4 linked regions of the Elephas maximus indicus genome follow. The protein of the gene in region 1 interacts with the protein of each later gene in a biochemical or structural test. Links are inferred from orthologs where the notes say so. Each region holds a gene or a part of one and is shown in the gene's direction. Other genes may lie near its edges. The genes, in order: ERBB2, CRK, SH2D2A and ITK.

Evidence for each region.
Region 2: the proteins of ERBB2 (region 1) and CRK form a complex in vitro, tested with the Homo sapiens proteins (2 studies listed by BioGRID and IntAct, with this or other methods). The link is inferred for Elephas maximus indicus from reciprocal best matches to the Homo sapiens genes ERBB2 and CRK.
Region 3: the proteins of ERBB2 (region 1) and SH2D2A form a complex in vitro, tested with the Homo sapiens proteins (2 studies listed by BioGRID and IntAct, with this or other methods). The link is inferred for Elephas maximus indicus from reciprocal best matches to the Homo sapiens genes ERBB2 and SH2D2A.
Region 4: the proteins of ERBB2 (region 1) and ITK form a complex in vitro, tested with the Homo sapiens proteins (2 studies listed by BioGRID and IntAct, with this or other methods). The link is inferred for Elephas maximus indicus from reciprocal best matches to the Homo sapiens genes ERBB2 and ITK.

The regions. Positions count from the first base shown.
Region 1 is NC_064837.1:46,996,085-47,003,306, forward strand, and holds the start of ERBB2 (receptor tyrosine-protein kinase erbB-2), read left to right. Parts: upstream 1-4,212; 5' UTR 4,213-4,473; coding exon 4,474-4,546; intron 4,547-7,222. UniProt on the Homo sapiens protein: Protein tyrosine kinase that is part of several cell surface receptor complexes, but that apparently needs a coreceptor for ligand binding. Essential component of a neuregulin-receptor complex, although neuregulins do not interact with it alone.
Region 2 is NC_064837.1:20,224,242-20,231,104, forward strand, and holds the start of CRK (adapter molecule crk), read left to right. Parts: upstream 1-3,842; 5' UTR 3,843-3,978; coding exon 3,979-4,219; intron 4,220-6,863. UniProt on the Homo sapiens protein: Involved in cell branching and adhesion mediated by BCAR1-CRK-RAPGEF1 signaling and activation of RAP1.
Region 3 is NC_064821.1:194,555,407-194,562,795, reverse strand, and holds the start of SH2D2A (SH2 domain-containing protein 2A), read left to right. Parts: upstream 1-4,388; 5' UTR 4,389-4,474; coding exon 4,475-4,508; intron 4,509-5,030; coding exon 5,031-5,191; intron 5,192-6,242; coding exon 6,243-6,427; intron 6,428-7,269; coding exon 7,270-7,359; intron 7,360-7,389. UniProt on the Homo sapiens protein: Could be a T-cell-specific adapter protein involved in the control of T-cell activation. May play a role in the CD4-p56-LCK-dependent signal transduction pathway. Could also play an important role in normal and pathological angiogenesis.
Region 4 is NC_064820.1:173,658,697-173,666,379, forward strand, and holds the start of ITK (tyrosine-protein kinase ITK/TSK), read left to right. Parts: upstream 1-4,666; 5' UTR 4,667-4,837; coding exon 4,838-4,975; intron 4,976-7,683. UniProt on the Homo sapiens protein: Tyrosine kinase that plays an essential role in regulation of the adaptive immune response. Regulates the development, function and differentiation of conventional T-cells and nonconventional NKT-cells.

The DNA.
Region 1 (7,222 bases):
AATCCTAAAACCCTGTGACCTGGAACCATCCAGTCCAACTCATATTTCAGTCAGCAAAGTGAGGCCTTATCCAAGGCCACACAGCTAAGCTACTGTTAGAAGAGAGACCCACAGATAAACTAAGAGCACATGTTAAATGAGAACACACACAGACACTGACACACAGAAATTAGCACCATGACAACTTTGTATGCACAGGCCAGGATAGAAGTCACTCATTCCTTCATGTATATGCATTAAAGCGAGGTGAGGCGGAGGACAGAGAGGGCTTTTTCTGAAAAGCACCCTGAGGACAGAAAGGGTCCTTGGGCCTGCATTCCCGAGAGAGATGTGGGTGAGAGGGGCTGAGGGAGGCAAACAGCATGACCAGGGCCAGTGGGTCTGGCAAGTTTGGGCTCTGCCTTTTCTCTAACCCTGGGCCCAGGCCTCCCACACGATTAGGCTACAAGTATTCATACATGGCCACCTATAGTAAGGATGGATTTTCTTTTTTTTTTTTTTAAGGCTGGATTTTCTTATCAGAAGCTTCTAAGTTATTCTTCTGTGGCCCCAGGGAGGCCTTGTGTGTACTCTCAGGGGACTCTTTCTAAGTAACTGATTCACACAAACACTTGCCCAGGAATCCATGCCCCAGGCCGGAGGTTCTGTGGGGCAGGCCCCAATTTGTGGCCTGGACCTCGGACTGTGGACCGTACCCTCCCTTCTTCTGTTTGTTTTCAGTTCTCTGACCCCAGGCTGGCTGGTGAGGTAGGCAAAGGGGAGGAGACTCCGGTGCCAACACAGACAAACACACTCACAAACACACAGCTTCATGTGCTCCCCAGTTTCAGTGACCAGTCAATGATTGACTGGCATTTCACAGGCCGCTTGTTCCAGACCCCGACCTGTTGACCCTTGGAGGTCACCTTTGTGAGGCAGAGCCCTGTCTTGCCTCTTCAGTGGCAATGGTCACGTCTGCTGCCCATGGATCTAGTACCTATCACTCAAAGAGCTCATGCATCTGCCCCCCGGCTCTCAGTTTGCTCCCCTCTGTCCCATGGTCACCATTCCTCTGTACCCCAGCCTCCCTCTCCCTAGGCCCCTCACTAAGCCTTTCTCCTGGACTCTCATGCTCCTCCAACAATCCCGCCCCTGCTCCTCAGCCCTCTCTTCCCCCCTGAAACTCCCCCTCTCGTTCTTTGTCCCTCATACATCCTCTTTCCTTGGCTCTCCTGCCAGGCCCTGCTGGAGGGACAGTGAGGGGAGAATCGAATCAGCAGCGCCCACCCCTGCCCCCCTTCCTCTCCTCTTGTCAAGCAGCAGACAAGGTTTTTTCCCCTTCCTTCCCGGCTCTGAATAGGCTCATTCTCTTTGAGAGATTGGGCCCCTCTCGAGCCTCCTCCCCGGGGCGTGAGTTCTGACCCCAGCTCCTCCCCCATCCCCTCTCCTGCCCCCACTCCCTGGCTCCGGCCTTTCTCTGCAGCCCACTAGGACAGAGCTTTGTCTCCCTGGGACCCGGGATGCCGAGAGGATGGGCTTGCTGTGGAGGGGGAGGCAGGATCTTTGCGGAGGGAAGGGCTGGTAGTTACCCAGGCTTCTCTTCTCAGAGGGGTCTCCTCTAGCTCCCGTGCAGGGGCCTGGGGAGAAGGTGGGTTCAGGGAACCCACCATTCAGGGCTCTTGAAGCTGACAGTCCAAGCCAAAGCCACCGTGGTTCTACAGATGAAGTTCACCTCCCAGCTCTGCTTGTGACCTTGGACAAGTTTCTTCACCTCGAGGAATCCTGGGGTTTCTCTTTTGTAAAAGGGAACTGATCATACCAGTCTCCTCTGGTGCCTCAAGGATTCAGTGACACGAGGACTGTGGCTCTAGTACAGAGAGTCACAGCTTTCCTGACTGGATGAGCCCTTCTTTACTCTGGGGGAGAAGGGACACCTCTAACTCTGGCCCCAACCTTGACCCTAACAACCTGATGGGTTCTGGATGCCATATGTGCTCTCACCCAGGTGCAAGCCCTTGATATGGGATCAGCAAATGACTCTTGGAGCCAAGTCAGCAGCTCCTCCCTAAAGGACTGAGAGGCTGCGAGGCTGAGAGGCACACTGACTAGCCTCTGGGCTGTATGATGGGGTGGAGGTGAGAGGCTGGTTTTGCTGATTGTTCCACTTTTCCCCAGTTAGCCCTAAGACACTCCTGAACAAATAGTTAACTCCTTAGAGCCTTAGTTTCCTTAACCCTAACTCCAGAGAAAATAAGAATTTGGATGACCATCTTGAAGGGCTGCTGTATCCCCGTGCACAGCAAGGTTTCTTGAACATCTGTTACTATCATCCAAGGAATAAATCCATTTTATATCACCATCTGGGACACACACAAAAGGGCACCTACCCTTACTACGTGTGATGCTCTTATATTTTCTATTCTGTTTTAGTTATAAAAAAAAAAAAAAAAAAACTAATCTTGATATGATAGTCTCAATTGGTTTCACAACCATCTAATGGATCCTGTTTTTTTTCTTGGAGGTTTCCTGTATTCCTTTTCTTGGAGCCCTAGTGGCACAGTGGTTAAAGCACTTGGCTACTAACCGAAAGGTCAATGGTTTGAACCCACCAGAAAGATGTGGCAGTCTGCTTCCGTAAAGATTTACAGCCTTGGAAAGCCTATGGGGGCAGTTCTACTCTGTCCTATAGGGTCGCTATGAGTTAGAAACAACTCTGTGGCAACTGATATGGTATTCCCTTTCTTAAAGAGGGTGTCCCAAAACTTATAAGCTTCAGGCCCCCACAAAACCTGTATCTGCCCCAGTATAACTACCAAAACCCGTTGCTGTCCAGTTGATTCTGACTCATAGCTTCCCTATAGGACAAATTAGAACTGCCCCATAGGGTTTCCAAGGAGTGGCTGGTGGTTTTGAACTTCCGACCTCTTAGTTAGCAGCCTGAGTTCTTACTGTGCCACCAGGGCTCCAGTATAACCACAGTTGGGACTATTTATTGAGCAATTACTGTGTGCCAAGTATGGTGCTAAGTGCTTCAGGAACATTATTTCATTTAACCACTAGCACAACATGCCAGATGCTATTACAGACCCTATTTCACAGATGAGAAGACTGAGACCCAGATAGACTCAGTCTCTTGCCCAAGATCACATAGCTGATATGTGGCAGAGTGGAGAGATTTGAACTCAGGTCATTTCTGATTCCAGAGCCCCTGATGCTGTCACCACCCCCTACCTCCACCTCCTCCTGTAGAAGTGTCTGCTTATAAAGGTGCCTGGCACATGGGAGCAGTTTAAGAAATGCTACTGTCTTTCATTCTCTACCCCCTGGTAGGTGCCTCTGACCCTCTCTTGACCAGCACAGGCTTTGCTCTTGGCTGGGGCATTCCAATTAGATTTGTCAGATTTAGCAAATAAAAATAAGGATACCCAGTTAAATTTTTAATTCAGGTAAACAACGAATAATTTGTTAGTATAAGTGTGTCCTGTGCATTCTTCTGTTGGAATTTCCAGCAAAAACATGCCTTCCTTCTATCCTCATCCCCACCCCACCCCCACACCACAGGGCCTGAGGAACAGGGTCAGGGGCTCCTGGTGGAATGCAGGGTGGGGAGACGGAAATGAATGAAATAGTAAACTGCAAGGGGCAGAGAAGAAACCTTGAATGAATTAGGTGCTGGATGCCCCCATAAAGAAACAAAAGGGATGTTCTTCCAAGGATGGGGAGGTGGTCCCACCAATTTGAACGTCTCTCCCCCACCCCCATTGGTGGACCCCCTTAGGACCATGCTTTTCAGGCTGGGGAAGATACCCAAAAGATTTGAAAAGGTATCCCAGGGAGTCCCGGAAGCCACAAGTTAAATACAACACACTCCCCTCCTTGACTGTCAATTTTACTTGAGGATGTAGTGGGAAAACCATTATTTGATATTAAAACAAACAGCCCTGTGATGTGTAGGGCGCAAACTCGTCAGGAATGTTTAAGATAAAACGGGCGACTTAAAAGTGTTAAGGATGGCAGGCGGCCCCTAAAGAAGTTGCCCCAGACTCGCCGAGCGGGGAGAGTCACTGCTTTTAGGGGTTCTCCAAGGAAGCGTTTGAGAACTGCTACAGGGAACCCAGGCGTCCCAGCCCTGGGAGAGACGCTCACAGGCCTGCGCGGAGAGAGGGAGAAAGTGAAGCCGGGCCACTCCCCGAGACTTGCTGGAATGCAGTCGGAGGGGGTGGGGGGGCGAGCTGCGAGCGCGCTTGCTCCCAATCACAGGAGGACGAGGAGGAGGAGGAGGAGAACGGCTGCCTTGAGGAAGTACAGAATGAAGTTGTGGAGCTGAAACTCCCCTCGATCGTAGCAGGAGGGACGAGAAGCACCCCAAGGCCACCGCCCGCCCCTCCCAGGGTGCCAGCCCGGCGCCCAGCGCCCACCCTTCGCCTCGCCGCGCCCGGCACCCTCGCAGCCTGGTCCAGCCGGAGCCATGGGGCCGGAGCCACAGTGAACACCATGAAACTGGCGGCCTGGTGCCGCTGGGGGCTCCTCTTCGCCCTCCTGCCCCCCGGAGCTGCGGGCACCCAAGGTAGGTCTGGGGTGGGGAGGGCATGGAACAGCGACGGAGACCCTGCAGCCTGGGTAGCCGCAGAAAGCGGGGACCGGCGGGCGGGGCAGAAGGGCCCGCGAGCTCTCCGGACCCGAGCTTGGGGACAGTCGGCCGCTCCGAGCAGCTGGGCACTCGGGCAGGGAGGGGGCAAAAGAAGATGGGCCAGGGGGCAGTTACCGAAGCAGCTCTAGAAGTTCCATTCAAGAGACTGGCTCCGAGAACTTGTCAAAAGTTCTCGGAAATTATTTAGAAAGTTTCCATGAAAGGGCAGATTGCGCGGTGAAGAGCATGTGTGTTTCCCCCCTCTTGAGCCCTCTCAAGCTTTCTCAAAGCTTTTCCAGTTGGCAGCCTCCGCCCCCAGACTGGACTGGACTGGATTCCTTTGGGGGGTCCCCTCCGCCCTGTCCCTCTCCGCCCCCTTCAGTAACTAGGATTTGGTTACTCCAGCTCCAGGCAGGGTCGGTGTGTGGAGGGGGGAGGTGGGGACAGCAACCTGTTCAGCCAGAGCCGGGAGGAGAGGGCGGCGGGTCTGGCTGCAGAGTTGCCTCATACTGGGGTCTGGGCTTGTGGGGAGGGCGAGAGGGTTGTTTTGAACAAGTTTCTTTAGGGCCAGCTTGGGGACTGGGTGTTTTATGACTCTCGAAGAACACAGGGGATGGTGGAGTGGTGGTGGCGGGCTTCGGGTTCTGGGGCATAAAGGAGGAGAGTTTCAAGGAAGGGTTTCCAGAACAGTCTGGACCCGGTGGTAAGAAATGGGGCCAGGTTGGGGAATGCAGAAGGCTGGGCTGTGGAGCTGCCTTTTCCTTCATGCTGTGTGGGAAAGGGAGATGGGGGCAGTGTGTGTCCTGAGAGGGGCATCTATCTTCCTCTGTAGGCAATAATGCTGAAAGTCAAGGTATACCGGACGCATACTGGGTGCTAAGCACTAGGTATGGCATTTTCCATGCATTCATTCCTTCCTTTAATCCTCAGGACCCTATAAGGGAAGTCCCACTAGTATTACTATTTTCCAGGTGAAGACCTGGCATTAATGAGGTTTAAGTAACAACCAGTGATGGCGGGCTCAGGTTGGACCCCAGGCAGTCCCATCTCTAACTACACATGTGAAATCACCGTATTAATCTGCCTTGAACAAGGGAAACACTGCACCCTGCTTGCCGGAGTTGTGGGGAAAACCAAATGAGTGTTCCGAAAGTAGTGGGTGGTCCCCATAGGCCACGGAGCCAAGGGGTGGTGGTGTCATAGTGCCTGAGCGTTGCCAGAGGGTCAGCGTACTGCTGTGCTGAGAGTGTCAGCGTGCGTGTCTGAGGCTGCGTGTCTGGCAGGGTGTTGTTGAGTTGTGTGGTCTGGTGTGTGTCTGGGCTTTGTGTTGCCAAACAGCAATCTCCCTGCTGACTTGGGCACTTGGCTGAACTCTGCCCTCTGAAGGAACTCAAGGTGCCGGGCCAGATCGGCCGTAAACAGCGGAGGTGGCCCCACGCCTTCTCTCTGAGGAAGGAGGCTCCCCTTTCCTAGGGAGCCAATCCTTCCCCTCCCTGTTTCCTAGGCGGGCGTCCTTGCCCCTGGTGCTCTGATGAGAAGGGTGAGGCTAGGCTGGGCTGTCACGCAGGAGGGACTGGGCTGCTTCAGAGCTGGGTTGTGAAGGGTGGTGGGACTGCTGTTCACCAGGGCTTCCTCAGCCCTCATCCTGCATTGCTGGGTACAGAGAGAGAAGCTGGGTGTGTTGTGCAGGGAGTGGTTAAAACAGCACACCACCCAGCTGCCTCCAACACTCCTGTTATATGTCAGGGCTCAGGGCAGGGGCAGGAATGTGGGGGGAGGGGGATGTGGGGGAAGACCCAGAGGGTCAGGATTTTACTGAGACCCTTTCTTAGAGGTCAACGTTTTGTAAATTGCAGCAAACTCGTTCTTTTTATCATGCAGAGCTCATATTTACTCCCAGTATGATTCTCCCAATAGCTTTCTCCTTTTACTATACTTGAGGATTTAGGAAAAGTAACCTTATTTTAATATTCAAGGGGAAAAAAATGGAAAAGATAGGCTCACGTGTAAAAAGAGAACAAATTCTACATTCCAAAGTCATGTTCTCTTGGTTTGAGATTTCCCATATTTCTGCTGTATTAATGTCTCTTGCCTCAACTTCCTACGTTCCGAGTTCTTACGCACAGTTTCATTTAATCTTTGCAACAATCCCGTGAAGTAGGTGCACAGGTGAGAAAACTGAAGTTCAGAGAAGTGAAGCGACTTATCCAAGACTCCCCAGCTAGCCAGTAATGTCCAAGGCATTTTGACTCCTCTAAGGAGACCTCAAGAGTTAGTCAAAGTCTTAATTCCATTCAACAGGAATGGGTTGAGCAAAGCCCCAGTTTAGGGGCAAACATGTGCCCAGAAGGGATAGAAACACTACTCAGATTTTTAGGTGAATGACTTTTCCATTCATTTAACTAGGTTATAGAAAGTAGAGCTGTCTTCCCCAACCCAGTGGGGACCCTCCTGGCCTGAGAGTCCTCTCTCTCCCTGTCTAGCTCATGCCTGCCTTCCTCTCGGGCCCTCCCAGCATGGCAGGGGACTGAGGGCAGGATGGGAGCAGAGGCCACTGGGACACGCATGGCTATGGGCAGAGGGAGACATGGAGTGGAAGCATGAGGGACCAGT
Region 2 (6,863 bases), about 27 Mb from region 1:
GTGTGAGCAGCAGAATTTCGTAAAGAATGGAGGGCAGTGAGAGGGCTTTATATTGCAGTGAAGCAAACAGCTCAAAATTGAGTATTTTGCATCTTCATTCTCAAAAGTCTTGCGGTCATGTTGCCACTGGGAACATCTTGCTGATATTTCTGGAAGATCCAGCCTCCCGCCTGTGTTCCCAGCCCCCTCTCTTCCCCAAGACCCTCCTTGAGTTCCCTCACATTTCTCCCCAGAGCTTTCCCCCAGTGTCTGTCTCCAGGCCCTACCTTTCCACGCTTTAAGACTGCTGCTTGTCTCTGCAGAACTAAGGCCTACCCATGTGGGGTGGGGTTGGTGGTAGGGGTGGGAGTGGGAGGGACATCACAGACAAGCATGCACTTTGAAAGGTGATACTGTTGTTTTTTGCTTTAAATAGCAATTTTTGTCATCTTGATACAAATAAACTTGTTCTGCTTTTTTTTTTTTTTTAAAAAAAAAGGAAAGTGAATATTAGTAACCCAACTACAGAAGCTTCATGTACACAGTATCTTGGAGTTGTGCATTGCACACAACCTGCCCAGCTATGGTCACTTTAGGGGACACAGAGCAGGCAGGCAAGCAGGCTGTTGACCCCTGCTGTACCTCCATTGCTAAAATAAGGAGGTTTAGGGGGTAGAGCGTGGAGTGGAGGACTTTGGTGTCTTTTCCTCTTGGACTGGGCAGCCTTCCCTTTCTTTCCCCCTGTATATCTCCTTCAGGTAACTCCTTGCCTCACCTCCCCAGGCCCCACACACAGAGCCTTTCCTAAGCAAGGAGGTCTCTTTCTTTGTAGGACAAGTCTCAAAGCTTATCAGGAGGCAAAAACCTAAATATAGCTGTAAATCTTTAATTATGAAGGGGAGAGGAGGAGGAGGAGAGGAGAAAGGAGGGAGGGGGCAGGGTGGCTTGCTCACTTCTTTCACTAATGACTTTGTTTTCCCCCAAGGCCACTCCTGTTCCTACATTCCTGCCCTCTGCCCTCCCAGGAAGGACCCACTTGAGTGGCTTCCTGGGCTGGATCTCTCCTTCTTGCCTACCCCCCCTTTGTTTGTTTTCCAGCTCATTTATGATTTCTTTCCTTTTTAAAAAATATTTAAGTCATTTCCATGTGCCCTGCGGGTGGGGGAGGCATGGCTTCAGACTCTCATAGGCAGTCTCTGAGTCAGGGCCTGTCCCTCAGTGCCAGCATTCTTGTAGAAATGAAGAGCAGGTGCTTCTTCTCAAAGGGTCAGAATCAGGCTCGAGTGGCTTCTGCTGCTGGCACATGGTGACGAAGTGTGACTAAGCCGGGGTTACAGTGAGTCACACACAGCTGGGAAGGTGTCCCCTCCCCATGCTACCCAGAGTGGGCCCAGGGGTGTGTGACGTGGACCTGGAAGAGCTGTGTTATTCACATGAGCCATAACCCAGGGCTGACTGATTTTTTCAAAATACAGATTTGCCCCCCTCCCCAGGCCCCCACCCAGTTTCCTATCCCAGAGGTCTGAGGATATAGCAGAGTGATCAATAGCTCTGGTTGTCCTCCAATTTGAATCCCAGCTCCTCACTCAGCAGCTGTGTGACTTTGAACAAGTCACTTAACCTCTCTGAGTTTTAGTCTTCTCATCTGTAAAATGAGGCTAGTTGTACAATACCTACCTATAAAGTGGCTGCAAGTATTAAATGTCATGATCCATTTAAAGTCATTTAGTACCATGCCTGGTAGGTAGTAAGCCTTGAATAAACGTTTAGCTGTTATTAGGAAAAAGGAGCCCTGATGGCATGGTGGTTAAGTGCTCAGCTGCTAACCAAAAAAGTTCGGCGGTTTGAACCACCATCTGCCCCACAGGAGGAAGATGTAGCAGTCTGCTTCTGTAAAGATTACAGCCTTGGAAACCCTACGGGGCAGTTCTACTCTGTCCTATATGGTCACTATGAGTTGGAATCAACTCTACGGCAACAGGTTTGGATTTTGGTGGGTTATTATGAAATGTTTAGGAGTGTCTCCTAACTAGATGCTGGGCCTTTGAGAAGCTCTAGCATGGGGTACAGACAGAGCTGTAAGTGAAAAATTACAGTACGATGGTACAAAAGCTGTAAGGAGACAATATGGACACAAAGCTGTCAGGGCAGAGAGGGAGTGATGGGTTGATCAGAAAAGGGGAGACGTTTGAGTTTGAGGTTCCATAAGGGGTGAAAGGGCATTACTGGGACAGGGGGTTCACACAGGAGCAGTTAAGATGAGGCTGTGGCCCAGCTTTATGCTGTGAGTGAAGCTGGCAGTTTTAACATTTGAAGACTGTTAAAGGTTTCACGCGGAGTAGCAAGACTCAGACGGACGTTTTAGAAAGGTCACCCTTGGCAGCAGTGTGGGGGGCAATTAAGAGCACAAAGACTGAAGCCTACCAGCAAGGAGGCTCTTAACAGTAATACAGAAGCGAAGTGATCCTGACAGTGGCGGTGAGAGGGGAAGACACACACGGGCACAATTTAGGGTTAGAGGAATCTGGGCCGATAACTTGAAAGCCTCAATAGTGAGAACACCATACTTCTGCCTGGCTTGCCACACCACACTCTGTTCCCTTTGACTTCAGTGCCCTTCCCCACTTGCCATTCAACATTCTGCTCAAGCCTCCCTCCCCAAACTGAATTAGGGAGCCTGTTCTGTGTTCCTAGAGCCCCAGGCTTGTTCCCCATCCTAGCATTTGGCACTCCATTGTCATTCTTTCCTGGCTCCTCCCACTGGTCTGCGAATTCGGTGAGGGTTGGGCTCAGCCTCGGTCACCTTTGCACCCACCTGGCAAGTGTGCTGTTCGCTAAATGAATCAATGAAAACAAGAACTTAGCCAGCAGAAAAGGCCCGACGTCTCAGGGAACCTTGCTGAGAGCTCAGGTCGTGGGCTCACATCTACCTTTTTTTGTTTTTAATTTTTATTGTGCTTTAAGTGAAAGTTTACAAATCAAGTCAGTCTCTCACACAAAAGCTTATATACACCTTGCTACATACTCCTATGAGTCGGAATCGATTCGATGGCAACGTTTTTTTTTTTTTTTTTAACATACTCCCAAGTGCTCTCCCCCTAATGAGACAGCCCGCTCTCTCCCTCCACTCTCTCTTTTTCATGTCCATTTTGTCGGCTTCTACCCTCCTCTTACCCTCTCATCTCCCCTTCAGACAGGAGATGCCAACAGTCTCAAGTGTCCACCTGATCCAAGAAGCTCACTCCTCACCAGCATCCCTCTCCAACCCATTGTCCAGTCCAATCCATGTCTGAAGAATTGGCTTGGGGAATGGTTCCTGTCCTGGGGCAACAGAAGGTCCTTCTAGTCTCAGTCAGACCATTAAGTCTGGTCTTTTTATGAAAATTTGGGATCTGCATCCCACTGCTCTTCTGCTCCCTCAGGGGTTCTCTGTTGTGGTCCCTGTCAGAGTAGTCATCGGTTGTAGCCGGGCACCATCTAGCTCTTCCGGTCTCCGGCTGGTGTAGTCTCTGGTTTATCACATCCACCTTTTATAACCCCAATTCTGTTTCGGAGTCACTGCCTAGAAGTCCTGGGCCATCCAGTAACTTGAAGCCTAATGGAGCGAAGAACCGCGTAGCCAACAGCACAAAAACAAACCTCTGGGGACCGCTGGCTGGGGCCCCGCCCCTTCGGCCCTAGACTCCACCTCTCCATCTTCTGCAGTTCGGGTCCGAGCCCGGCGGCGACGCCCATGAGGCCGCATGCGCAATGCATGCGCAATGCGTGCGAGAGGTCTCTCTTGCCCTTCTCCCAATGGCGGCCGGCGGGCCCCTTCCCGGCAGCCTCTCTGAGGCTGGGAGCGCGTCATTTCCGGTGGGGAAGGCCCGCGGCCGCCGCCGCCATTTCGGGCGCTGCTGTGAGACTGAGACCGGAGCCGGTCCGCTCGGCGGCGGGCGCCGGGGCTGGAGGGGTGCGCGCGCGGCGGCCGCGGCCCAGCGTGTAGGCGCGGAGGCGGCCATGGCAGGCAACTTCGACTCGGAGGAGCGGAGTAGTTGGTACTGGGGGCGGTTGAGCCGGCAGGAGGCGGTGGCGCTGTTGCAGGGCCAGCGGCACGGGGTGTTCCTGGTGCGGGACTCGAGCACCAGCCCCGGGGACTATGTACTGAGCGTCTCCGAGAACTCGCGCGTCTCCCACTACATCATCAACAGCAGCGGCCCGCGCCCCCCGGTGCCGCCGTCGCCCGCCCAGCCTCCGCCCGGTGAGGGACACACGGGACGGGAGGCCCCGGGCGGGGGTGAGGGCCGCGGAACTCTCCAGCCTGGCCGGCTGCTTCTCGTGAGCTGGCCCCCACGAGGGTCGTGGACAGAGGGCTGAAGCGACAGGGGCAGTGGGCAGCCTACTGCTGGAGCTAGTTCTCAACGGAGAGCGGGAGTGTGTGGGGGAGGAGGAGCGGCTGACCGAGGCCTCTGGGTGTGACTTGGGAGGACGGCCCAGGGGAAGGGGAACTGCTTCGGCCCCAGGGTGGGGCTAGTGCCCGGGCCAGTGTGCAAGGGCAGGGCGGGACAACGTGGGGACAAAGAGCTGAGGGGGATGTTGGCACTGCGGGGGCATCACTTGGCAGCGGTACCCAGAATGAATTCGATAATCCTACAAGTGGCTTTTAGGCTAGAAACACTTCCTGCTGTGTTGGAGAGCCAGGTTTGGCCATACTCCCCTGGTGGCCTTTGGTAGGAAGTCACCCCATACCGGTCAAGAGGGATGGAGACACCCTCAGGAAACCGGTCAGCTTTTTCCTTTCTTGGGCATTTTTCCAAAAGTCTTTTACCGTCCTCTTCTCCTGTGGAGGACGAAGGTGATTAGCTAAGTGCCTTGGTGATTGAAGAAAGCCCTCTGAGACCAGCCCAGAACAAGTTAATGCTTGGCTGACTGTATCCAAGAAATCTTAGTGGCCAAAAGACTGTCCTTCTCTGCAAGCAATGCATAGGGGAGAAAGAGTTTTTCAGAAAATAAACCAGAAATAAGCCAATGGAAACAACCTCTTCCCTAAAAGTGAATGGATTTCATTTTTCCTTGAGCTTAAACATTGTTAGTCTTGTACTTCAGGGCCCCTTCTTGCTCAGTAAGTTGGGGCTGTAGCCTGAGTCTTCATGGAAATTGGGAACAAACCTGGCTGGATCAGATTTTCTGAGTGTTTAACTACACTGGTCTTCCTTACCAATGATCACTGAGATTTAGTCATGTCATTGAAGTTGTTTGAGGAGTGTTAATGGAATTTATGCATTTAGTATTTGAGAGTTGTGAGGTACAGAGTAATTCTGCGGTTAGCATTATCTGTGTAAGAGGACCAAGAGTCCTGATGCCTTCTCACTGTTCCCAAGTTGAAGTAGTTATCCTCCTGACCAACTGAGATTAGATCCAGGCCAGTCTTATATGAATTAGGAGGTTCCAGAGCCAGCCTTTGCAGGCCGGCTCTTTTACAATAGGCCTAATTTAGACTGACAGTCTGGCCAGAAAGGGGGAGACAGGATAGGCAATCTCTTTGTTATTAACACATAGCAAGTTAGAAAATGAGTATGAGGTCTTTAAGTCCATAAATTTTCCTAGATCTTTCTCAGTCTAATTGATTTAATATAATTAAGCATGAGATGCGAGTATTGATGTACCATCATTTGCCCTAAACTAGATTGGAAGCCCTAGGGGCAGCATTACTGCCTTACAGGGTCGCTATGAGTCAGAATCCACCTGATGGCAACGGTTTTGGTTTTGCTTTTAGGTGTATTCTGCTTTGATGCTGCCTGCATGGTATCTAAGGTTTGGTATCACATACAGTAACGTGGAGGCAAACTCATTGAAGTTCAGTTCTTAACATTTTGTTTGTGTGTACGTTTTGTTGGTTACAAAATTTGGAAATGGCAGCAGGTTGCTTTTTTAGTTTGAAATTTCTCCATACCTTGGCATTATGGTTTTATTTCCCAATGCTTACCTTGGTATGGAGCTCCACCTTTTCAAAACAGATAAGAGTTTAGATCCTTGGCCCAGGAGAGAAGGTGAAGATTGCCAGAGTTTGTGGATGGGGTGTGGAAAGTTCATGGGCATTGTGGTAATGCCTGTTTCTGCAATGCACTCCATATTCTATGCAGGGTAATTGATTCAGTTGCTGTCTTTATAAAGATTACTTCATCTCTGTTGTCCTCCTCTCCATTGAGCTGTATTTCTTTTGAAACCATACAGAAGAATTTCTTGAGTTTTAGAGAGGCATATACAAAATTAATGTTGTTGTTAGGTGCTTTTGAGCCGATTCTGACTCATAGTGAACCTATGTACGACAGAATGAAACACTGCCTGGTCTTGTACCATCCTTATACTCATTGCTGTTTGAGCCCATTATTGCAGCCACTGTGTCAATCCATCTCGTTGAGGGGCTTTCTCTTTTTCATTGACTCTCTTCTGTACCAAGCATGATGTCCTTCTCTAGGGACTAGTCCCTCCCGATAACATGTCCACAGTACGTGAGACAAAGTCTTTGCATCCTCCCTTCTAAGGAGCATTCTGGCTGTACTTCTTCCAAGACAGATTGTTCTTCTGGCAGTCCATGGTATATTCAGGGTTCTTTGCCAACACCACTGTTCAAAGGCATCAGTTCTTCAGTCTTCCATATTCAGAGGTTTTGCATGCATATGCCCCAAAAACCCTGTGAGGCAATTGAAAATACCATGGCTTGGATCAGGCACACCTTAGTCCTCAAAGTGAGATCTTTTCCTTTTAACACTTGAAGGAGGTTTTTTGCAACAGATTTGCCCAATGCAATAATAGGTTATTGGATTTTTTGACTGCTGCTTCCATGGGCTTTGATTGTGGATTCAAGTAAAATGAAATTAATAGCTAACATTTATTGACTGCTT
Region 3 (7,389 bases), on another chromosome or scaffold:
CAGACTCTAAGGTTTTCACGGGACCTGTGCCTTACTTCTATCCGAAGGAATATGGCAAAAGAGTACAGAATTATGTGTTTGTGACCACATCATGTTATGGATGGAATAGTGTCCCCCAAAATACGTGTTGAAATCCTAATTCCTGTACCTGTGAATATAATCTAATCTAAGGTAATCACCTTCCATAATGAAGTCAATTGGTTATACCAGTGTAGGATAGATCCTAAACCTAATCACTTCTGAATTATAAAAAGAGCAGGATAAACACAAAGACAGGCAGACACAGTGGGGAGAGGGAGACAGATGATGGAGGTAGAAGTGTCTACAAGGCCAGGACCTCCAAGGATGGCTGACAGCTGCTAGAAGCTGGAATAGACCAGAACTACACCCTGAATTCGAACTTCTAGCCTACAGAATTGTTCTTTAAAGTTACCCACTTGTGGTATTTCTGTTACAACAGCACTAGGTAACTAAGACACAAGATTACAACACGTGTTTGGCCAGAGGCTCTCTGCCTAGCTGGCCTTGAAGAAGTAAGCAGCTATGTTAGGAGGCCCAGGTGGTTGGGAGCTGAGGGCAACCTCCAACCAACAGCACACAAGAAGCCAGGACCCTCAATTCTACAACCAGAAGGAAATACATTCTCCCAACAACTTTAGTGAGCTTGGAAGTGATTTTTTCCCCAGTTGAGCCTCCAAATGAGAACACATCCAGGTTGTCACTGATTTCAGCTTTGTGAGATTCATGTCTGGGCTCTTCGCCCACAAAAACTGTGAAATAATATATGTGTGTTTTAAACCACTAAATTTGTGGCAATCTGTTACACGGCAATAGATAACCAATACAGCAATACTCAGTCTCCCCTCTCAGTCCTGCCCCCAGCCCCAGAGGGTTGGGGGGATCAAGGGGAGCAGATCACACCCCTTCCCCACTCCAACCCCCTCAGCTACCTGCCAGGGGAACAGAGTAGGAGAAGAGAGGAAGGAAAAGTCATTTAAGTCAGAGACACGATAGGATGTTGAAATTTTAAAGTGGATCGATCTGAACTCTTACTGCCTGAAAGTGAGTGAAAATTATAGTATCTGCTCGAGATGTTGTTACCGGGTAAGAAAGAGGGCAAGCCTCATTGAAGGTAGTGACTGCAGAAAAATAAAGCCATGTGAGATTTGAATCCCACTGTGTTGAGACTGGAAATCCTCAGTGGTCAAGAGCTATGCTGCTAACCAAAAGGTCGGCAGTTCAAATCCACCAGGTGCCCTTTGGAAACACTATGGGGCAGTTCTACTCTGCCCTGTAGGATCACTATGAGTCAGAATCGACTTGACAGCAACTGGTTTGGTTTTTTGGTTTTTGTTTTGAGATTTTGAGACTACTCAATAAATTGGTTACAATATTGATGGTCAGGTGGTCCAACTCCACCTCTAACTTAACCATGGACCTGGGACAAGTGACTTTCCGGGCCTCAGTCTTCAATTCAATAAAATGAGGAGTTTAGGGATGAAGACCTTTCAGGCACCTGTCAGTCCTCACAGTCTCATTTCCAACTCCTTGGATGGGACCAAGGCTAAGGCAAGTGTTTTTAAGGAAGGGAAGGGGAGCAGGCAGCTTTGGGGGAGGTAAGGCCTTGGGGTGTGGGCATGGCAGGACCAGCAGAGACTGGTGGGAAAAGCGTCCTCCTGCACAGAGATGGGGAGCAAGCAGCTGCCCCCATAAGACAGAGCCCAGGTGGAGAGTCCAGAGTCCAAACGCCTTCCTGGTGACATGTGATTGGCCCTGACCCCTCCAGCTGCATAACCTACTGCTGGCAGTTTCTCAAAAAAAAAATATCCCCTCTTGTTCTCTACTCACACTGTCCCCTGCAGCTGCCCCCCACACTCTGCCATTTCATCCTTCCGTGCATTTGCACATGCTGTCCCTTATCTAAGAAGGCTTTCCCCACCCTACTCATCCTCCACAACTCAGCTCAGGCTCCTCTTCCCACATCCCAGCCCCTCCACGCACACACACCAGGCTGAATTAGGGGTCTTCAGGGTCGGCTTCTATGATGAAATGAGTTTCTTCCTGTGAAAAAGAGAAAAAGAAAACAGCTTGGGAGATATTTCCCCAAGGCCATGAGGAGTTGTTACAGCTGCCCTAGTCCTTTGGAGAAGCCTATTACTTTCCCCCTGGGAAGAAGCCAGTCTCTGACAGAAGAAAATGCCACTTTTTATGCAAATAGATGCAGCCACTTGCAGGGGTGATTGGCCAGTTTAGTCCAGTGAGGGGATTGGTCAGTTATGCAAATAGGGTACATAAAATATGCCCAATAGGATTGAACCACTTGCCTATATAAGCGGCCATCTCACAGAGGTTGAGGGGTGTCTCACCACCATCAAGAAGAAGAGCCTGGAGCAGAATGTGTCCTTTGGACCCGGGGTCCCTGCACTGACAACCTCCTAGACCCAGGGAACAGACAGAGCTGTAACACTGGAGTGGCGGCACCAGAACCAGGAGGCTGCTACAAGATGGCATGGTGGGCTTCCTGGCCCATGGAGCTAGGGAGCTGAGCGCCTTCGGGCAGCGGGCTTGCTGGTGGAGTGGGGTGACTCCGGGCAGCTGCCTTCAGGGCTGCAAGAGCTGGAGCACTTTCAGAGCAGGGCAGGGGGCAAGGGGAGGCTTATCCTGAGGGCCCTGAGAAGAGGCCTGCAGAGCTGGGAGAGGACTTGCACTGCGGAGGGAAGTGCCTACTTGCTTCCGCGGCCAAGGGGAGCTAAGGGAGCTGTCCTGCACTGAAGAAGGGAGATTTTGCCTACATGCTTCCTAATCTTGATCCCAACTTGTAGCCTGCTGATCTCGATCACATGTTACTTCCCTAATAAACCACACAACCGTGAGTATGGTCTATGAGTTCTGTGTGGCTGTTGTATGTAACAAATTATAGCACCCGGCAGAGAAGTAGAGAGTGCCATGGGGTAGGCGGCTGGTGTCAGAATTGGTAAAAAGTTTGGAGAGTGGAGGTATGTCTGACCTCCATCTCATAGGAGTCGGCTTTGGACTGATGCTGATTCCCCTCTGAAGTCAGACGAGGGCCAACACTATTGCTACCACACTACAGCTCCCATAGCACCAGCCCATACCATTACCCCACCACCATCTTTAAAAAGTATTTGCCGGAAAGTCTGTCTCCTCCACTTGACATCCCGAGGGCAGGAACAAGGTTCTTTTTCTCTCTGAGTTCTTGGCCCCACAAACAGTGCCTGGCACATAGTCATGGACTGTTGGCCTAAATCATGGTGACAGTAGTGAAAGGAGCTCTAGTTTCTAGTCCCAGCTCTGCCACCAACTCCTGAGACACTGAAAGACCCTGGCCAAGGCACCAAACTTCTCTTAGCCTCAGTTTACCCTTCTGGAAAATGGAGATCATGTTTCCTTTCTTCTTCTTAGTGTGTGAGGATCAAGTGAGAGGGAAATAGGATGGGTCCTCTGGTGTGTGGAGTGCGTATAAAGCACACTGCAACTTTAAGACATCAGAGTTGTTGATGTTATTAACAACGACGACTAACAGTGTTGTATTAATTACAACCTGCTTAGTTGGCAGTAAGCCCTGGTTGTGCAGTGGTTAAGCACTTAGCTGTCAACTGAAAGGTCAGCACTTTGAACCCACCAGCCTCTCTGCGGGAGAAAGATGTGGCAGTCTGCTTCCGTAAAGATTATGGCCTTGGAAACCCTATTGGGCAGTTCCTGTCCTATAGGGTCATTGTGAGTCAGAATCGACTCCATGGCAATGGGTTATTTATTTATTTTTTCCAACTTAGAGGGAATTCTCCTTCCTTTTCTCCAGAGTTGCCTGGTTTTGCCCTCACCCAGCTCCATTATCTGCTCAAGGATGGAAGCCAGGTCCCCATCTCCCTACCCTCCACCCCTGCAGTTTTTGTAAGATCTCAAAAAGTTCTTCCAGAAGTCTGGCCCATTACCTTCCTATCACAGCCCTGTCCTGCCCCTCCTCATGTGCACTCAGAGCACAATCCTGACTGTGAAACTTGAGGAGCCCCAGGCACCTCATAGATCTGATCCTTCTGAGGTTGACATCCCCATTCCCACTGCTCAGAACATACCACTAGGGGATTTACCAGTAAGAAAGCAGAAGCCCAGAGGGACAGAGATAGGGAGGTCCCAGCCTGGGGTGAGGGAGTAGAGAAAGAATCAGGAGAGATCAAGGTCAGATAGTAGTAAGAACTTCCCAACACCCAAACACAGAGTGACACCAATACGTGCCACCACCACCACCTTCAACTGCCTGGCTTCCGGGGGGAGGGACAACTGTCTTATGGCTTTCCATGACGTGGGTCCTCTGCTGGGGCTAAGGCTGTGGGTGAGGCGACACTTCCTGCCCCTTGGGGCCAGGGTGAGGGGAAAGATGAGTTGCTGAGTGTGCACACCTTTCCAGAACACAGACATACACCCTGTTCCGGGGGCTCCTTCTAAGGCTGCCCCCATGGAGTTCCCCTTGGCTCAGATATGTCCCCAAGGTAAGTGGAAAGTGTAAGAATGTGGGGGGCAGGAGACATTAGGACTTCCCTCATCACCCCTGCTGTCTCTCCTGGGCTCGAGCTCCCATTTCAGGGGTGAGGGCTCCCACCCCAAGCCAAAGATGGCAAGGCTGACTATCAGGGCACCCATGATTCCTCCTCCCTCTGGGGCTCCATGTTCACTCATCCCTGAGGACAAAGGTGATGGGGGTTTGCTGAGTGCTTCTTAGAGAGGAGGGAGCTGGGAGGAGAAAGGGGAATGCGAGATGGAGGACCCTGGGCCAGGAGAAATCTGCGTCCCTTATGGTGGAACTTCTGGGCCATCGGAAGGCCAGCTTAGTTCCCAGACCTTCCTTCCCCTGACAAGCACCCTCTAACTGCGTCAGCCCTTCAGGATCTCCTTGACTCCTTACTCCTCATCGCTGAGAAATCTTTCCCCTGGTCCCTTGCCAGAGGCATGCAGGGTCCTCTGAGCCTGGGGAGAGGAGTGAGAAACCCCAGCAGTCCTCTCTATGCTGACAGGGAGTCGCCAAGCCCCCAGCCCAACCTTCAGCACCTTTCTGCCCATGGACTTGACCCGCAGGAGCTGCCAGGACCTGGACCTGCTCCCGAGGCCCAGATCCCAGGCCCTGGAGGCTGAGGAGGCCCAGCTCAGCCCCAGGGCTTTGGCTATTGAGGTTCCGGTGAGTGGGAACTTGAGGGAATGCAGCCCTCCCCATCTGCTCCCACCCTCCCACAGATGAGGGCTTGCAGATGGGCAATGGGAAGACAGAGCAGGAGCCATCTGGAGCTGTGGATGACGGGGCTAGGGGAGCCGAGGGAGGTGAAGAAGAAAGGGAGAGGCCCCTTCATTGCCGAATTGCCCCCTGGCCCACACACTGCTCCTCTGGCCCTGGGAAGCTCAGGCTGAGTCCACAGGTTAACAGGTAACAGTACATTTGGACTCTCCCCCTAGCAGGTGCCCAATAAGCAGTCACCTGGGAGTCTATGTCCACGGCCTTCATTTGCCCTTTGCATCCCAGGTCTCCATCTCAATTCTCCTCACCCTCCCAGACCAGTTGCCATGGAGTCAATGCTGACTCCTAGCAACCACACGTCAGAGTAGAAATTGTACTCCATAGGGTTTCAATGGCTGCTTTTTCCTAAGTAAATCACCAGACTTTTCTTTCTGAGGTGCCTCTGGGTGGACTTGAACTTGTAACCTTTCAGTTAGCAGCTGAGTTCAATAAACATCTGCGCCACCCTGAGACTCCCCTTACCCCTTAGTCATTAGGGAATCTTCCTTTGGACTCAGCTTCAATTCCCCCTACTGTCGGGGAGCACTCCCTCATCCCCGCCTCTGGGGTGTCTTGCACCATCTCCCTTCATCCCTCGGGCCAGGCAACGACCTCCAGTCTGTCTGGAAGCCCTTGGTACCTGTTTCATCCCCATCGAAGCACATTTTAACAGCTCACTGCTATTGGATGAAAGGCCCTTGTGCCCCAAAAGGAAGTGGAAGGACATTCCCTGGAAACCAAAACAGCTAGAGCTGAAGACAGGATTTAAGTGAGATCTTGGGAAGGGCTTTCTGGGCAAATACATCCTAAAACAGGCCATTGGTCTGGTGGGGGGAGCTTCCTCCCCATGCACAGGAGGGGCTGGGTATAGGGGTGAGAAGGTGGTGGCTGGTTTGGCGTTAGAGGAAAGCCTGCTAATCGTGGCTGCTTCTCCCTCCTTGGACTTTTCCCCTAGCAGGTGTCTGTCCAGGCCCGGGGGACTGCTTCCAATCCAGAGGGTGCTGGAAAGGCTGAGGAGGTGCCTGGGGAAGGAGGCCTGACCCTGCAGGCCGAGACCCGGGCTTGGTTCCAGAAGACCCAGGCACATTGGCTCCTGCAGCACGGGGCAGCCCCTGCCTGGTTCCATGGCTTCATTACCCGAAAGTGAGTCAGAGAGGAGGAAACAGGCCCAGAGAGGGGCAGGGGTCCCTTGCCAGTCAGGGCAGACTGAGACTATGACTCCCATCTCCCAATTCCTAGGCATCTCTCCCAGGGGAGATAATTAGAGAGAATCCAGTCCAGCTGCCTCTGTGCCTTGGTTTTCCCTCTCAGGCTCCATTATCCTCCTGTCTTTAAGGTCTCCATAACTGGGTTGCTCTTGGGTCGATTTTGACACATAGGGATCCTATAGGGTAGAGTAGAACTGCCCCGTAGGGTTTCCAAGGAGCGGCTGGTGGATTCGAACTGCTGACCTTTTGGTTAGCAGCCGTAGCTCTTAACCACTGTGCCACCATATTTTCCATCTCTCTATCTCTTTCTCCATTGACTCCATCTTTGTCTCCGGCTCCTTGCAGCTCTCTCCTCTTTCTTCCCCGTCTCCCCACCTTTTCCCTCTTCCTCTATTTCTCAGCCTCATAGCCCTTGTATCTCTTGCTTCACCTCCTCAGTTCAGTTTGGGACTTCTGATATCCAGAAGTCTAACTACCATTCCTGTTGCTGCAGCCTTAGCCCTTTCAGGCTGCACTTTCAGGATGAGGGTGAGCAGACCTGCAGCGCGGTAGGCCACCTGGCCTCCCGTGTCCTGAGTGGGACCCTGCCCCTGCCCACCGCCAGTCCCTGCAGGGGAAGCACAGTGCTCGCATCCTCCTTCCCCATCTCCACCCTGGCCCTTTTCTAGCCACTTCAGCACACTAGGTTGGGGGATGGGCCCCCAGGAGCTCCGGGGACACGGGACGAGGCCCGGAGGGTCATAGCAGGGTTCTGCCTCTTCTCTCCGCTACCCACAGGGAGGCCGAGAGACTGCTGGAGACCAAGCCTCAGGGATGCTTCTTGGTGCGGTTCAGCGAGAGCGCCGTGACCTTTGTGCTGACTTACAGGTGAGGGGCGGGGCCCCGCGCCGGGGGGCG
Region 4 (7,683 bases), on another chromosome or scaffold:
GCGTAATAGTTAAACGCTATGGCTGCTAACCAAAAGGTTGACAGTTCAAATCCACCAGGCGCTCCTTGGAAACTCTACAGGGCAGTTCTACCCTGTCCTATAGGGTCGCTATGAGTTGAAATCGACTCAATGGCACTGGGTTTGGTTTTGATTTTTTGGTATATTTAAGGAGCCCTGGTGCTGCAATGAAGAAACCCTGGTGGTACAGTGGCTAAGCACTCAGCTGCTAAGCAAAAGTTTGGTGGTTCAAACCCATCAGCTGATCTGCAGAAGAAAGATGCCGCAGTCTGCTTCTATAAAATTACAGCCTTGAAAATCCTATGGGACAGTTCTACCCTGTCCAATAGGGTCACTATGAGTCGGAATCAACTCGACAGCAATGGGTTAGGTTTGAGTTTGGTAGTGCAATGGTTAAGCACTCAGCTGCTAACTGAAAGGTCGTCGGTTCGAACCCACCAGCCAGTCCGTGGGAGAAGAGACCTGACAATCTGCTCCCATAAAGATTTCAGCCTAGGAAATCCTATGGGACAGTTCTACTGTGTCCTATAGGGTCAGTATGAGTCGAAATCAACTCAAAGGCACACAACAACAAGGTTTCATTTAGGAGTGGTGCAGTGTGATAAATTATTTAGTATGGTCTTTCTTGGCATGGTCTTATAACTCCCACCCAGGTGATTGGGCAGGGATGTGCAAATAAGATAATTGTGGCCCACTAGGGGGATTGGTTGGTTTTGCCTTAAAAAAGAGCCAATTCCAGAGCAGAGAGAAGATGAAAAACGGAAGAATGAGAAACTTTTGGTTTAGGGATGGAATGAAAAAACACCGGTGGATTTAAGTATGTTGTAATCAGTTACCCAAGGCAAAAGCTAGTCATGGGATTTAGGAAGGGTGAATCTAACTCTTGAGGAACTGGTTATTTGGATGCATATGGAAATGCAGAGTGATAAGAAGATGGAAGGAATACACAGAGTCACTATACCAAAAAGAATTGGTTGACGTTCAACCATTTCAAGAGGTAGCATACGATCAGGAACCAACAGTACTGAAGGAAGAGGTCCAAGCTCCACTGAAGGCATTGGTGAAAAACAAGGCTTCAGGAACTGATGGAATATCAATTAAGATGTTTCAACAAATGGATGCAGTGCTGAAAGTGCTCACTCATCTATGCCAAGAAATTTGGAAGACAGCTACCTGGCCAGCTGACTAGAAGAGATCCATATTTATGCTTATTCCCAAGAAAGGTGACCCAACCGAATGTGGAAATTATCAAACAATATCATTAATATCACAGGCAAGTAAAATTTTGTTGATGATCATTCAAAAACAGCTGCAGCAGTATATCGACAGGGAACTGCCAGAAATTCAGGCCAGATTCAGAAGAGGACGTGCAACCAGGGACATCATTGCTGATGTCACATGGATCCTGGCTGAAAGCACAGAATACCAGAAAGATGTTTATCTGTGTTTTATTGACTATGCAAAGGCATTCGACTGTGTGGATCATAACAAATTATGGATAACATCGTGAAGAATGGGAATTCCAGAACACTTAATTGTGCTTGTAAAAAACCTGTACATAGATCAATAGGCAGTTGTTTGGACAGAACAAGGGGATACTGCATGGTTTAAAGTCAGGAAATGTGTGCATCAGGGTTGTATCCTTTCACCATACCTATTTAATCTATATGCTGAGCAGATAATCTGAGAAGCTAGACTGTACGAGGAAGAAAGGGGCAACAGGACTGGAGGAAAACTCATTAACAACTTGTGATATGCAGATGGCACAGCCTTGCTTGCTGAAAATGAAGAAGACTTGAAGCAATTACTGATGAAGATCAAAGACCACAGCCTTCACTATGGACTACATCTCAACATAAAGAAAACAAAAATCCTCACAACTGGACCAACAAGCAACATCATGATAAACAGAGATAAGATTGGAGTTGTCAAGGATTTCATTTTACTTGGACCCACAATCAGCACCACGGTAGAAGCAATCAAGAAATCAAAAGGCGCATTGCGTTGAGCAAATCTGCTGCAAAGCACCTCTTTAAAGTGTTGAAAAGCAAAGATGTCACCCTGATGACTAAGGTGCGCCTGACCCAAGCCATGGTATTTTCAATCACATCATATGCATGTGAAAGCTGGACAATGAATAAGGAAGACCAAAGAATTGATGCCTTTGAATTGTGGTGTTGCTGAAGAATATTGAATATACCATGGACTGCCAAAAGAATGAACAAATCTGTCTGTGAAGAAGCACAACCAGAATGCTTCTTAGAAACAAAGATGGTGAGACTACATCTTACATACTTTGAACATGTTATCAGAAGGGATCAGTCTCTGGAGAAGGACATCATACTTGGTAAAGTAGAGCGTCAGGGAAAAAGAGGAACACCCTCAACAAGATGGACTGACACAGTGGCTGCGACAATGGGCTCAAGCACAAAAAGGATTGTGAGGATGGTGCAGGACCAAGCAGTGTTTTATTCTATAGTACAGAAAGTTGCTATGAGTTGGAACTGATTCAACGGCACCTAACAACGACAAAGGAAGGGCCAAACATAAGATTCCTTGGTTCTGTTATCAGTAATAGCTATAATGGCAGGGAAAAAGAATGTAGGGCCTGATTTTAGCATTGAACCAAGCCCAGATTCAGTTCAGTCAGAGCTAAGACCGCTAGTCTCAGGGCCAACCAAGGAAGGAAAAATCAGATTGGAACAACAGTTCTTCTATGACCATTATTCATCAGGAAGGTAGTCTGTGAGGAAACGGACAAAACTAAGAGGGTATAGTGTAAAGGAGTTGCTTCAATTTGTAGATCGGCATTACTAAATGAATTGGGAAAGTGGCTCATTTAGGAGCAATGTCTTTAGTTTTGAATGCTGCAGAATGGAAGAATGTGTTTGGGTTGATACAAGAGCCACAACTTACTATGGAACATTCACAAATGGCGATACTAGATGCATTTACACAGCAGGTTACCCCAGAGGAGACAGCCAGCCTGATGGACTGGATAAAATTTGCAGTGAGATTTGTTTATTCCGAGAAAAGAAACTGCCCCCTCCCCCTCTAAATACCCAATGGAACACTCCAGAGGAAGCGCCTGGTGTGCCGCTCATGGAAGTCATGCTGGAATGGCTTTATGGTGGCAGGAGGGGGAGTGCTGAGGGGAGAGGGAGTGGTTGATGTTAGAGATGATGGAGTGGTACAGCAGCTTGGAAAAGCTGGACATCTGGGACATCTTAAACCTCTGCCTTATAGGAACTAGCTTTGTGCTGATCCTTATCAAAGAAATTATTCATTTGAGCGAGCAAAACCTAACTTCTCTGAGTGAGTTCGAAGATACTATAAGAGAGAGGATAAGATGAATTCTTGATTGTATTTTACGGAGGCTTGGCAAATGAAAAACTCCCAACTATTACCACAGCTACTGACAATATTTTGCTTTTTCAGATGAGAACACTTGTATGATGTCTGTAAATCTTTTAATCTGAAACAACCAGGAATAAATCTACCCTCCCCAAAGGAGTTTATAGTTTAGTTGGGGAAGGTAGCACTGTATTAGTTAGAATGAGTTTTGCTGCTAGTGACAGAAACTTCAAAATAACAGAAGCTTAAAAATTAGAAGTTATTTTTGTTTAAGCTAAAAAAGGCTATCCGGGCCTTGCATGGAGGGTCCATGGTCATGAGGACCTTAGGGTGTTTCAATCTTGTGCTCTATTGCATGCAATTTCCACCTCATGCTGCAAGATACCTGCTCCAGATCCAGCCATCACATCCACAATCTGGTCAGCAGAAAGGAGGGAAAAGGGTGCAAAGTCTCCCACTAAGGGACATTTCCTGGATGTCATGCTCACCACTTCCACTGTGTCCCATTGGCCAGAGCACAATCACATGACTACACAAACTACAAGGGAGGCTGGGAAATGTTGTCTTTATTCTGGCTAGCCAGATGTCAGAATCAGTTACGCAGGAAGAAGGAGAGAGCACATGTTTGGGAGAAATAGCAATTCTTGTACCAGAAAAAACAAACAAAATACAACCTCTATTGGACAATGTATTTCCACATATAATATCCTAAAATCTTAGAACAAGGTTAGGGGCATCATTTACAATACTCTCCTCCTTAACTTCTCCCAGAGTGTTTTGATTATGCCGGGGCATTCAATATATGATACAAAATTAGGCTCTAGTCTAGTAATTTATATTTTTAAAAATAAAATTTAGAGATTTGAACTCCTATATGGCAGTAATGAGTCTTCTGTTTTATTATTTATCCCTGTCCAGTACATACCATCTCTGCTTACACTAAGATTTCTTGGTTCTTTACTTCTTGCTGGAAGTAGGGTTCACATACTATGTTTCAACTTACATACTAACCATAAGGCAAGATATATGACTAGTGTTATGGATTGAATTGTGTTCCTCAAAAATGTATGTCAACTTGGGTAGGCCTAATTGATTCCAGAGCCCATATTCCTACCCCTTGTGCTGTTAGATGGACTAAAGATTAAATTCTAGTCCTTAATATCATTTGAGTCTAAGGTTCTTCAAATACCATTTCCAAACCATGTAGCAAAGGGTGTAATTTTTTTTTTTCACATATACCTCTTTTGTGAATTTTGAAAGGATGTGGTTTTAGTCTTTGACATCAGGGGGAAGCTCTGCAATGCTGACTGAACCTTGATAGAAAGATAACGTTGGAGGCAAGTTGCCTTTGAACAACTCTCTGAAGATCAACGGCCTCCCCGTCGCATTCCTTGCCCAGAAGCTCTTTCCTCTGGTTGTGCTAAGGGGTGATGCCCAAGGCACATCACTTTTCAAGAATTGGATCATGAACAACTTTATCCTCCTGGAAGAACAGCTCATCAAGAAATCCCAACAGAAGAGAAGAACTTCTCCCTCGAACTTTAAAGTTCGCTTCTTTGTTTTAACCAAAACCAGCCTGGCATACTTTGAGGACCGCCATGGGGTATGTGAGCACTTTGTTTTGTCTTTCTTTGAATAGTATTTTATATTTGTACTGGGGTGATTTATATGGAATAAAATAGAAAACGGGGGACACAGACATGCTTGTCAAGAGGTGAGGTAGCTGTACATGGTGGTTTCAGTTCTAAAAATCATAGAGCTGTGAGTTGAATAGCCATCAGCTTCTTTTTCCCGCAAGGGTTAAGCTTAATTTTAAAATTATGATAATATTATACATAGCAAATGTTTTGATTAGATATAACTTGAACTTCATTTGAAATATGCTACGTGTTATGGGACATTGCTTAATAAAATATTAACATCTGATGGAAGCTGACAGATGATATTGCCCAGTTTCCTTATTTTACAGTGAAGGCAACTGGTACCAGGAATGGTTACATGATGGGTCCAGAGGCTCAGAGCCCTTGAGTAATTTGCCCACGGATTTGACAGCTAGTCAGGTGGTGGAGCCAGAATTCAAACTGTGGTAGATAAAATCAGTATTTTCTTTAATTCAACCCATTTGTGTCAACGGTCACCAGTCGCCTGACATCTTGGAATAATATTCCCTGAGCATTTAATTGAATACGGTGTTGCCCAAAATTTGCATGGCACAATGGTAAACCCCTTAAGCCCTTGGAAAACTTCCCAGGAAACTAGTATTACCAAGCAAAAAGTGACCTGTGGTGAGGACCAGCGGCTCTTATCCATAAGGTAATCGCTGCTTAGCTAAGTCAATCTTTTTGTATATCTGAAGATACTCTCACATTCTGAAACGTCAGCAATTACAGGAGCAACATGAATAATCATAACAATGTAGTTTGGTAGAAAAAGCACTGGGCAAGTGATCTGGAGACCAAACCACTTCTCACTGGATGATTGAGCCTGAGCAAGAGTCTCTTGTTCTTTCTTTCTTTAAAAAGAAAGGTCCCTTCCTTCTTTAAAAATTTCTTTTATTCAATGAAGAGGCACTTGTTTAGTACTTCTGAGCAATTCATCAATACATGTTTGATTTCTTACTATATCACTGTACTTTTTCCATTATTAGGGTGGTAGGAAAGGGGTTGTCACCTTTATTTTACTGAAGGAGAAATAACATTAGGTGCTTAATGGTCAGGTGTGGACAAAGCTGCTCTGAGTCCTTGTTGGGATCTGACTTAGTAAGTGCAGGCAGGAGGATGGGGTCTTTTGAGAGTCAGGCTTTGAAGCATTCAGTGAATGGAGTCCTGAATAAGGCTGGACAGTTATATGCAGCCTGTGGGTGATTGACCCTTTTATGCAGTAGGTGAAATAATACTGCCTTTTTTTTTTTTTTTCTTTTTTTTTAAGAGGGGATAAGACTTGCTCATCTCCTTTTCACAAAACGAGAAGCAATTCAGCAGACTCTAACTGATAACAATACCGGTCAGTCAGAAAACATATGGTGATTACTGATTATGTAGAAGGCCCCTTTGATAGGTGCTCAATAAATATTTGTTGACTAAAGGAACATAGGGCCAGTAGCCAAGTTTTGAACTTCAGAGAGTCAACATACAGAGCTGATAAATCACATGGCATCAGTCAATATTTTTCTTATTGTGAGTGGGACATCTAAGGTTCTTGTTCCATATTGAAAGAGTTATCACCGGCCTTTAAATATTCTCTTTTCAAAGTCCACGTTACAGTTTTTGCCAATTTTTTTTTTTCCTGACTCCACATAGCACCATCTCACTTGTTAGTCCTGATACTGATAACAGTTCCTAAGCAGAGAGTTCAGTGCAGTAGTATTCGTAAATAATCACAAGCCGAGTGGTCTTGATTCAGAATTTTGTTGGTTATAATTTTTCTTTAGACGATGTTGTGAAATCACTGTGCTTCATTTGAGCATTATGAAAAGTTACAGCATAATTCATTCTGTGCATGGGCGAGCCCTGGGCTAAAATCCCTAAAGTTTCCGTATAGGATATAGAAAATACATGAAAACAAAAATCAAGTTTTTTGTTTTCTAATGCCTACAGTTTATATACCTAAATAACTATTTTAAAAGCATTTCTTTAAATAGTATAGAAATTTATTGGTTAGAAATTTCTCCAAGGTCACTGAGAAAGTTAAGATAAATGAGTTATTACAGATTCATGTCCTAATTATCTCCCATTGTTTAGGGCCACCGATTTGCACAAAGAAGTGCACTGTGCATTCCCCAGAAAAAGCAATAACGTAATATTTATGAGAAGGAACTTTTTATTTTGAAATTAAAGCCTCAGTCTTCTGATCTGTAAATGGGTGTGATGAGAGTACCCACGTCATGATAAAATGATAAAGTTGAAGAGAGAGAATGTACTTAGGCTGAACTATTTGAAAGTACCATTTCATAGATAGAAATGGTTAGATATAGGCAATTTTATATAGCTCAACTTAATATATAAAGTACAAGCAATCCTTGTTATTCACGGTAACTCTGTTCTATGAAATTACTGTGAACACGGAATTAGTGACCACCTATAACAGTTTTTTTTTTTTTTATAACAGCATATGGTTTCTCCATAGGGTACATCACAGTCTTCTTGCGCTTAGGAACACTAGATAGCACTTTAGCACTACCCTTCGGGGCCATTTTAAACAGAGAAATCACCGACAAAAAGTACAAACATGGAGAAAACATGACATTAATTATACCACAATAAGGACATTTGTTTGCAATATGAGAGTGGAAACCAGAAGGCAGCACATCAC